Caenorhabditis elegans: one gene and its partner. The protein of the gene in region 2 interacts with the protein of the main gene of each other region in a pairwise test. Each region holds a gene or a part of one and is shown on either strand. Other genes may lie near its edges.

The links.
Region 1: the proteins of cdd-1 (region 2) and T23G5.3 interact in a two-hybrid assay, tested with the Caenorhabditis elegans proteins (one large-scale study listed by BioGRID).

Annotation. Positions count from the first base shown.
Region 1 is NC_003281.10:9,228,416-9,233,084, forward strand, and holds T23G5.3 (uncharacterized protein), read right to left. Parts: upstream 2,859-4,669; 5' UTR 2,796-2,858; coding exon 2,661-2,795; intron 1,649-2,660; coding exon 1,521-1,648; intron 1,472-1,520; coding exon 1,169-1,471; intron 1,116-1,168; coding exon 1,001-1,115; intron 928-1,000; coding exon 820-927; 3' UTR 587-819; downstream 1-586. Other genes in the region: CRAL-TRIO domain-containing protein T23G5.2, read right to left, coding at 3,323-3,419, 3,769-3,917, 3,966-4,166, 4,220-4,558, 4,607-4,669.
Region 2 is NC_003284.9:8,208,150-8,213,017, reverse strand, and holds cdd-1 (Cytidine deaminase), read left to right. Parts: upstream 1-1,868; 5' UTR 1,869-2,222; coding exon 2,223-2,305; intron 2,306-2,351; coding exon 2,352-2,416; intron 2,417-2,531; coding exon 2,532-2,636; intron 2,637-3,645; coding exon 3,646-3,719; intron 3,720-4,048; coding exon 4,049-4,198; 3' UTR 4,199-4,270; downstream 4,271-4,868.

The DNA of each region.
Region 1 (4,669 bases), on a different chromosome or scaffold from region 2:
AATTCAAATTCAAAAGGAAAACGAATTATTGAAATCTTGGTCTCATAGAAAAAACAAGTATTACAGTGAAACAGAATACATTATATTTTCCTACGAATTCTGGCTTCAATATGGTTTTCTGATAGAAGTGAGCTAATGTCGAAACACACAAAATTGGCCTAGAAATTCAAACCGAAAATCCACGGTCCTGAGCATTTCTAACTACGGCAGTTTGAAATGAAATATTAATTCACAGCTGAAGAATTTCATTTAAACAAAAAATGTGTTTAGTTTTCTGTGTGAGGAAAAAATCTATTTATACCCTTCGGCACCACAAGCACCGCCTCTAACCATGGCTCCGCCCTTTAGGACAAGTCCGATAATCGCATTTCATTGCTCTGAAATTTAAAAAAAAACGTAAAATTCAAAATAAAACCACATAAAAATGCATAAGATCAGAAGAAACCCCGAAAATAAAAGCTGTAAAACACAATTTTGCCGCGGGTTACTGTAATGGTCTCGACACGAAATATTGTATTTAAAAACTTTATGCGTGCGCCTTTGAAAGAGTACGGTAATTTTTTAAAGAAAAAAACATGTTTCGATGAAATAATATTTATATTCAGTTTTTCCTTAAATTTTCAAACTGCGGACAAAAAAGCGTAGTTTTTTATTTTCTGATGTTTTGTCAGAGATCACTAAAATTTGCTGTCGGTCAATTCAGACAATAAAAAACCACCAGCTGTGATTGCGAATTTTCGAAAATTCGAAAAACGCGTATCTGTTGGCATGCAAGACATGACATAAATAATTTATTTTGACACAGATATATTCAAATGGTTAGTGACGAGATGTTCCATCTCTTGACTGCATTAATCCTCCAGTTATGAGCACTTCCACGCTATGGCTCTCCTCATCCGCATTTTTGTTGACAACATTGTATACCGCCTGAAAATAGATAAATGAATTTTAATTTTATAATTCTATAGATATTCTACTAATTTTCAAGAAAGTTACTCACACTAAGATCAACTGCCTCTGCAGCAGCATCACAGATTTTCCTCACAGTCGGATCATCAGTCATTTTCTTATCAAAAAGTACCGATGCACCATTCCAACCAACATGTGCAATATGTCTGAAAATAAACTTTTGTAAGTAATTAATAGATAAAAGATATCCAAATCTCACGTAAAGTTCCTTGGAAGACTAATCGAATCTGCAGACGTTTTAATTTTTTTGGAATTTCTGCCAGTTGGAGGTTTTCTCATCGGAATTTGTACAGTATCCTTCGGCTGCATCAATGACGGAAGTGGTGGTGGTGGAGGTGGAGGTGGTTTCGAAAGAAGAAGATTACGTGGGACAATCGGAACATTTTCTTTTTGGGTCAAGATTTGGTTCGGTATTGGAGTTGATGGAAGTTCAGGTGGGCAAGTACAAAATGTTCGCAGCTTATGTTCTATCATGTTTCGAAGTGGTCCAATTTTGAAAAATCTATAATGATTTATACTTTTTGCAATATTCTGATTTGTTCCGAACTTACACCGCTTCACGTAAGATTCGCATAAGCTGATATTCGTCTTTTGGCAATGAACATTTCTCATGATCTCTTAGAAAGTTGAGAATAACCGGAAATACTGAAGAATCACGGTCGATGAAGAGTCTACCATCCTGAAATAAGCATTCAAATTTTCCCAATCTACCGTAACCCCCATTCTTGCCTACGTCACAAATTGACGTCACAGGCACCCAACAACCAGTTGGTCATTGCTTTTGAACAGTGCGCTACGTCACACCAGGAGGAGGTCAAGGGAATGGTGTTAGTGGTTGTGGTGTCGGGTGAAAAGTATGGCAACGGGTGGTGGTGGAAAATTATTTGAATGATTCAATGGGCCTGCAGATGTTTGATGACGTAGACATATACGCAGAGTATTTAACACAAGGCATTGGGAATCTTGGGGAAGGTTAGTTGACCAAATGAGGTTTTATTCTATTTAATGGAGTGTTAATATATTTTATAACTGATGTGTTCAGAGCAGTTTATGCGGTTTTTAATTCTAAAAATACGGTACCTGGTCTCGACAAGCGTAAAGGTCTCGACAATACGAAACGAATGTGCGCCTTTAAAGAGTAATGTAATAAAATTACAGTACTTTTTGAAGACGCACACCCTTTTCAATTAAAAAAAATTGCCGCTCCGAGACAAAGTACCGTACTGTTAGCGCAAAATTTAGCATTATGATATTTTTATTGACAGTATATGCTTATTACCCATTCTTGAATTTTTGCGATTTTTGAGGCTTGGATACCGTACCTGGTCTCAAAACTATCGAAACTTTACAGCTACAGTAACCGAAAGTGTTTCACAATTTTCCACGATTTTTTTTGTTTGATAGTAGGCGTTTTCCGGAACAAAATTTGAAGATTTTGTATTAAAAATCATGAATAATCGTAGCAAATTGCGAAGTTCCTGTGAGTACGGTAGCTGCAAAGTTTCGTGTCGAGACCCGGCACCGTATTTTTGCGCCAGTAATCACAAAATTCAACAACATGGCAATAATCATTTGTGTTTGGACATTCTAGGAGGTTAGGGACCTGCAGCAATGCTCTAAAATTCTAAGAAGTTTGGCAATTTACCAAATGCTTTAAACTTTGTAAGTTACAACTTTTTTTTTAGACTTACTCTATCAAGCTGCTCCCTCCAATTAGTTTCGAATAATTTAGTAAAATAAGTTCCTTCTATAGATTTCAAAGTAGCTATCCTTGTCTTAAAATATACACCTTCAACATCAAGCGATATTAATGGTGGAGGTGGCATTAGAGAGAAATTAACCACTTAAAAGGTGCGCGCGAATTCAAAAAGTGGTAGAGGTATTCTACCGAAAGCGACTAACAAATAATACCAGCTCAATTTCCATTCTTGGAGTGGGCGCTATTTGTCCAATATATAATATTGGAGTGTAGATTATGTTTGTGTTGGGGTGTGAAAATCATTGTTCTTTTGCCTTTGCCTCACTCGTTTTGGCTTGTACAAAACTTCTTTATACTCAATTGCTCGGCATTTGATGGATGAAGAGTGAACTAAGAGAGGAAAAGTTCGAAATTAATAATAAATTACATCAAAAAAGTAGTAAAATGAAGGAATATGATAGAAATGGAGACAATGAGAAAAACCGTGTTTGGGACTGTAGACGAAGAAAAAGGAAATAATAAGGAATTTGGTGTTTGCATGTTTGAAAGCAGAAGAAAAGAAGAGACAGAATGGGAAGTAGTACAGAAGAAAGGAAAACGAATCACAAGAATACGAGTAGGGTCGGATAAAATTTTGAATTTTACAAATGATGTTTATGGATTGCGGGGAGTTCCTGGAGTTGGTGGCGTTGGTGGAGCAATTGAACTGAACGATGATGAACGGCAAGATTCGAGGGAGGCAACGGATCCTCTGAAAACAAATTGCATTAATAAGGCTACTGTAATGGATAGTTTACGTTTTATGTAGACGCAAAAATTTTGCGAATTTGTGTGCCTAGAATATGGTGCCCGGTCTCGACGCGAAAGTGTTTTGCTAAATAAAAAAGAATGTGCGCTTTGAAAGAGTACTGTAATTTCAAACTTTCTTTGCTTAAATTCCGCCGAAACGAAAGTTTCAAGATACAGTACTATTTAAAGGCGCGCCCGTTTGTATTTAACAAAATTGTCGTGTCGAGACCGGCTACCGTATTCTAAGCGCAAAAATCGCAAAATTTCGAGTCTCCATAATATCAACTGTAATAAATGTGTAAAGAATTTACCGGAAATTTTCAGAGTTTAAAATCTCGTAATAGTAGATGAGACGACATTTGTGAGAACCAAAGTCAAAGGTTGATGAGTGGCCGGCTGCAGTTTCAGGGACTCTCCATTGCATGATATATGTACCAGCTCGTGAGCAATAGTGGGAACCCTAAAAAATACCATTTTTAAATGTATTTTTTATATTTTTTAAGAGTACCTGCATAGAATCTCCTTCCTGGAATACAACTGCCTTTTCCTCTAGACGTAGCTGTGGTGTTCCAATTTTAAGTTCAGGAGCACACTGAAGATCGGGATGTTGATGAGATGCTCCTCCGATTGCTGCAGATACCATCTCAACTGGATTGAGAATGGTTGTTGGTGATTGAGCTCCATCACGGACTGCTGGTTGCTCGATTTTCTAGAAAAATTTAAACGTTTAATTATTGAGAATGATAAATAATGTAGATTTACCTCAGTCGAAAAGTACAGACTGAATTCACAATCATTCTTAAGCACATCGAAATCCCATGTAAGCACGCAGCCAGCTGTCTCAATAGGAATGACAACTTCCACTGGGTATCCTCTCCAGGTTGCAGTACTTGTGTAGGTGGAATGAAGAGGATCTTCAGATGAGCTGGCACCTTCTTGCTCTTCAACTGGAAGGTACATCGATTTTGGAACGTGTCCACCAAGTCCACAATTTGTTGTGAGGCAGGATCCACCCAAAAAGTCAGGAATGAACTTTTCTTCAATATGTTTTCGGAGTTCTTCTTTCAAATCACCTCCGCTTCCACCACTGACCATAAACTTCTGAATATAAAATAATTATTAGTTTTATTCTAGACGGTTCCACCTTACCTTTCTTGTTTTCTCATCAATAAATGGTGAAATTAGAGTCCAAAGTACTGGAAATACTCTAGG
Region 2 (4,868 bases):
TTATGTAACGTTAAAAAAATGGTTGTTATGTAGTAGCCGTATATTATATCAATTAAAACAAATGATGAGCCGTTTCGTTCAGTTTCCTGTAGAGGGCTGGCTGTTTTCTTAGCAATAAGCCAAAAAAAAACGTTCGTAAACGTAAAAACGTAAGTTCGCGTTTCGATTGAGTAACCATTATTCGATTATCATAAATTTTAAAAAGTTGTTTTTAAATCCTGCGAAGAACTTCTTCTATTTTTTTACAAACCACAAGAATTCAATCTAAAATTTAATGTACTAAAATAATATTTTAAAAGCTCATTTTGTCTTCAGAATTTGATATACTTAAGAATATGATAAGAGTTGTCAGCAAAAAAAACTTCGGTATTTGGAATTCATTGTCATTTTTATCCTAGATCTTTACCCACAGAGAGTTCTTGTATTGCAGATGTATTCTATAGCTGATCAGACAAAGTAGCAATACATAATATAGTTGCTTGATGTTTCCACCCACCATTACTTTTGGAATTGACAAAAGCTGACAACTTTTCTTGTATATAATGAGGCAAATGATCAAAAAAGTTTGGTCTCTTGAAATGTAGGCATTGTCTGTTACATGATTTAAAAGATCACACACTTGTGTGATGATAGCAAAGTTCAAAAAAAGAGAGTCTCGTGAGTGGATTTCAAGCTATTTTCGGTTACCCGCACATTTTTGCTGCAAACAATTCACAAGACATTTGAGTTCAAAATCATTCTGAGAATACTCTGAGAATCGCTATTGGACTTTTAAAATATGTTTTAAAAACAAAAAAAAAGTTGATAGGCATACTTTGAATTAGGCAATTGTTCAAAATAAGATGCTGAGCTATTCCACCGCAGTAGTCGTCAAATATAAACGAGATATAGGGATTTTTTAAAAATATTTTTGAGGAAGTTCAGTAGTTATATTTTGAGGAAGTTCAGTTAGTGAAGCAGTATAAAGTAAACATAAATAAAGTCAGTTTTTCGCTCAGTGTACAGTGTATGAATCACATTAATTGTGAAGAAAAACAATTTCAGTCAACAAAAAATGCCAGAACCGCCACATCAATGAGTTGTTTTGTCACTTTTGTCTTTCAAGAAATACTCCCTTATATACACATATTCTTTGTTCTTATAAAGATGCTTGAGATACATTTCTTAAAAGGTTTTATTTATTTCGGCTGGTTTTAAGAAGAGCATTTGTGGTTCAAAATATGAATTTTTCTAAAAGTAGTGAAATCATATTTGAAATACTTTGAAGTTTTTATTAACATTTGAAACAGCTATTAGCATTTCTAGAGACACAAATGAGGAATTTTTGTAAATGTGATGGAAGAAACTGTTGAAATGATTCATAGTTCAAAATTTAGTTTCAACTGTAAAAATTAAAAACTATTTTTAAACGGCCGTTTAAAAAAAATTGCTAATTTTTATTCAAATAGAATATCGAAGAGCAATTCGTTTGTCGCATTTTGTTATCTATTCTCTTGCAAATGAATCTTTGCAAATAGATTTCTCATCACTCTTATAATCCCATATATTGTTTAAAATTGAAGCACTATTGGCACCAATCGTTATCAAAACTTTCATAGTAATCGTTAAGGCTGAAGTTTGTAGGCAATGCATAGTTTCTACAAAGCCCATGAACATCACTTTCAATTTAATGGACCAGTTGAAAATGAAATGATAAATTCGACCGAATTTTCTAGAATCGTCTGAATGTGGCGTACGTCAGTGAACCAAGTCGTAAAACGACGCGGGTTTGCCATCCTATTCCTTATTTCTTATCATTATCACTCCTCGTGGCCCACTGTTATCAATCATCGGGAAATGTATAAAAAACCCCCACATACTCACTCTTTCCCCATTCACAGTACATTTAGAAAGGCAAAGTTCTTACAGGAATGGTGAATGGGGAAATGTAATTAAAAATTTTAATTTTTACGTCTGTTCTTGATACTTATTTTGATTTGTCCTTGGATGGAATATTTTATAACATAAGTTGAAGTTTGTACAAATTTCGAAGACGGTTAGAAAGCAAAGTTCTCCATGCAACGAAAAATTGGAGCAAATATTGACTATCCGATTCATTTGCTTTATTTAGTTTTCACATCCTAACTAACCACGTGCGAATTGAATCTACTGTTTGCAAGCTTCTTTTTCTTAGTTTAGCCAAAATTTTCAACAATAGTTTTAAGTTTTAAAAAATTTACAGAATGACTACAACAAAGGCAAACCTTACCGAGTTTGAGCAGCAACTTGTTGATAAAGCAATTGGAGCAATGGAGAATGCTTACTGGTATTTCAAAAAAGCACGGTAAATGTTTTACAAAAAACATTTTTAGCAAGTATAGCAACTTCAAAGTTGGAGCTGCGCTGGTGTGTGACGACGGAGAAATTATCATAGGAGGTGGGTGGAGACTATGATTTTCGTCCTTGTCTGATTCATTAGTAAATGTGAGAACTTGAAAGTGCAACATTTACATCCGATTACTAACTATTCACAATCATTCGAGTATTTTCAGCTAACCATGAGAATGCGTCATACGGAGCAACGATTTGTGCAGAGAGAAGCGCAATAGTTACCGCCTTGACCAAGGGACACAGAAAATTTAAGTACATTGTTGTTGGTGAGTTGAAAAAAAGGTTCTAACGTTTTTAAAGTATTCATACTACATTATATAAGATACGCAGTTGAAAATTGAAACTCAGAATTTACAAATTCTGTTAAAAATGAAACTTGATAGTACACCTACTCATCTTCATGTCATAAATGATCTTACGAACTTTGAAGAGTAATGAACAATTTTAAACGGGTTTTAAAAAGCTCCTGTTTTGAGAATATCTGTCTGACACTAATAATAAAAATATCTTATTTCTTTTTTCATTTTGAAAATGACATCCCAAAACAGTATATCATATTTTGAGTAAACCTCAAATATCAAAATTATGTTATATTATTGCGAAAATAATAGATTTTAAAATAGTTTAAATGTTCAATTACAATTTGAAGTTGACATTCTTAAATGTAGTGTGGGTGGAATTCCATATTTTGAAGACAGACAGACTCATATTTCCGAAATCCCGATAGTTGCATAAATTGAGACAAATAATACATCATGATGAAAATTTGAAACGCACTTCAAATCGAAATGAAGGTTGTTTGTAAATGTTCTGACTTCATTTTTATATAAAAAAAAAATCAAAGACATAATGAAAACTAAAATTGATGGTTTGCTGGGTTTGTAAAAAATTAAATTCATATGAATGTACTAACTCAAAAATTAAAAACTAAAATTAATAGCAAAATATAATTTTTGAAGGGTTTCACGTGAAAATTTTTTAGTTCAAGAACAAGAAACTTCTCCGAATACAGTGTCAATCATGAAACGATCAATTTTTTTAAACTTAGTCATTTCAAAGTTCCAGTCTCGACAATAGAATGCGATTTAAAAAAAATAGAGAGAGAGTTTTGTATACCAGGCTGATCAAAAATACATTTAGTGAAAAATTGTAATTGTTTCACAGTAGGAAGATACATTCACAATATGAGGCAGAACTCTTTAAATATCACACAATTGAACTTTAAAACAGCTAAACGTCGTAACTAAATTTGAACTAAATTTTTAATGTTTTTAGCAACCGAACTAGAGGCTCCCTGCTCGCCATGTGGAGTATGCCGACAGGTCCTTATCGAATTTGGAGACTACAAGGTTGGTTAGAAATATTTCAAAATTTAATATGCATAACAAAATTTAATATGCATAACTAAACTATGCTGATTCTTTTTTTCATAGTTTTCAAATTTATGCTCGCTATTATAAAATTATGTGAGCAATTATATTTGAAGAAAGCCTTGCATATTCTCTGAAAACAAAGTAAAAAATGGAGGAAAAATACGAATGAAAAAGTCATAATGAGTGTTTTCCCTTCAACCTGCAAGAGTCTACTCCATTTCCACTATTCGTTTCGTTTATTTCCAGATGAATTGTTTTCTGGACCACCCACGTCTTCGGTTTCAAATGTCATTTTTCTTGTTCAGGTCATTCTCGGGTCTTCGACTAGTGATCAAATTATCGAGACTACAACATACGAGCTTCTGCCATATGCATTCACTCCAAAATCACTCGATGATCATGAAAAGGAGACTGAAGAGCGCAAACATCACAATGATCACAACAATAAGGAATAGGGAAAATTTTCAGAAATTCATAAATGTTATGAACACAGTAATTTCTATTAATAAAACATGGTTGTTGAATATATTTCTGGTTTGACTTTTTCCAAAAAATACTGGATACACTTAATAACAAACTTCAAAACTTTACCGAGTTCAGAAAGTTTGGCAAATGTAAATTTTCTATTATAATTCAATGTTAAAAGACTTGCATTTGAAGGCAGTTTTAGCTATATATTATATAATTTTTGTAACTGTTTTTCGAAGCCGGGCACTATTTTGGTTTCACACTGTGTACCAATGGGTTCCCTTTAAATATTTCCATGACGTTCAGAAGAAACAGCAAGCCTTATGTCATTTTAATGAAGTTCCAAAAAAAATTGTCATGATCCATTATTTTGCGTCAAATTTGAAAATGAACTTGCTCATGCCCTTACTTTGGAAATATGCAGTTCTCGGAAACTTTAATCATTTGCAGCTTACTACCCATAAATTATTTTCTACAAAATGATTGAGATGACATTTATACTTTTTTTAGTTGCGAAATATACAAAACCGTCTAAAAGTGTTTAGTCACAGAATCATCTTCATACGATGTTCACCTATATTTATAATTTTTTTTTAATGTGATATATAATTTTAAAAGTTGTTTTGTTTTACAGAACAAACTACGATTAGATACGGC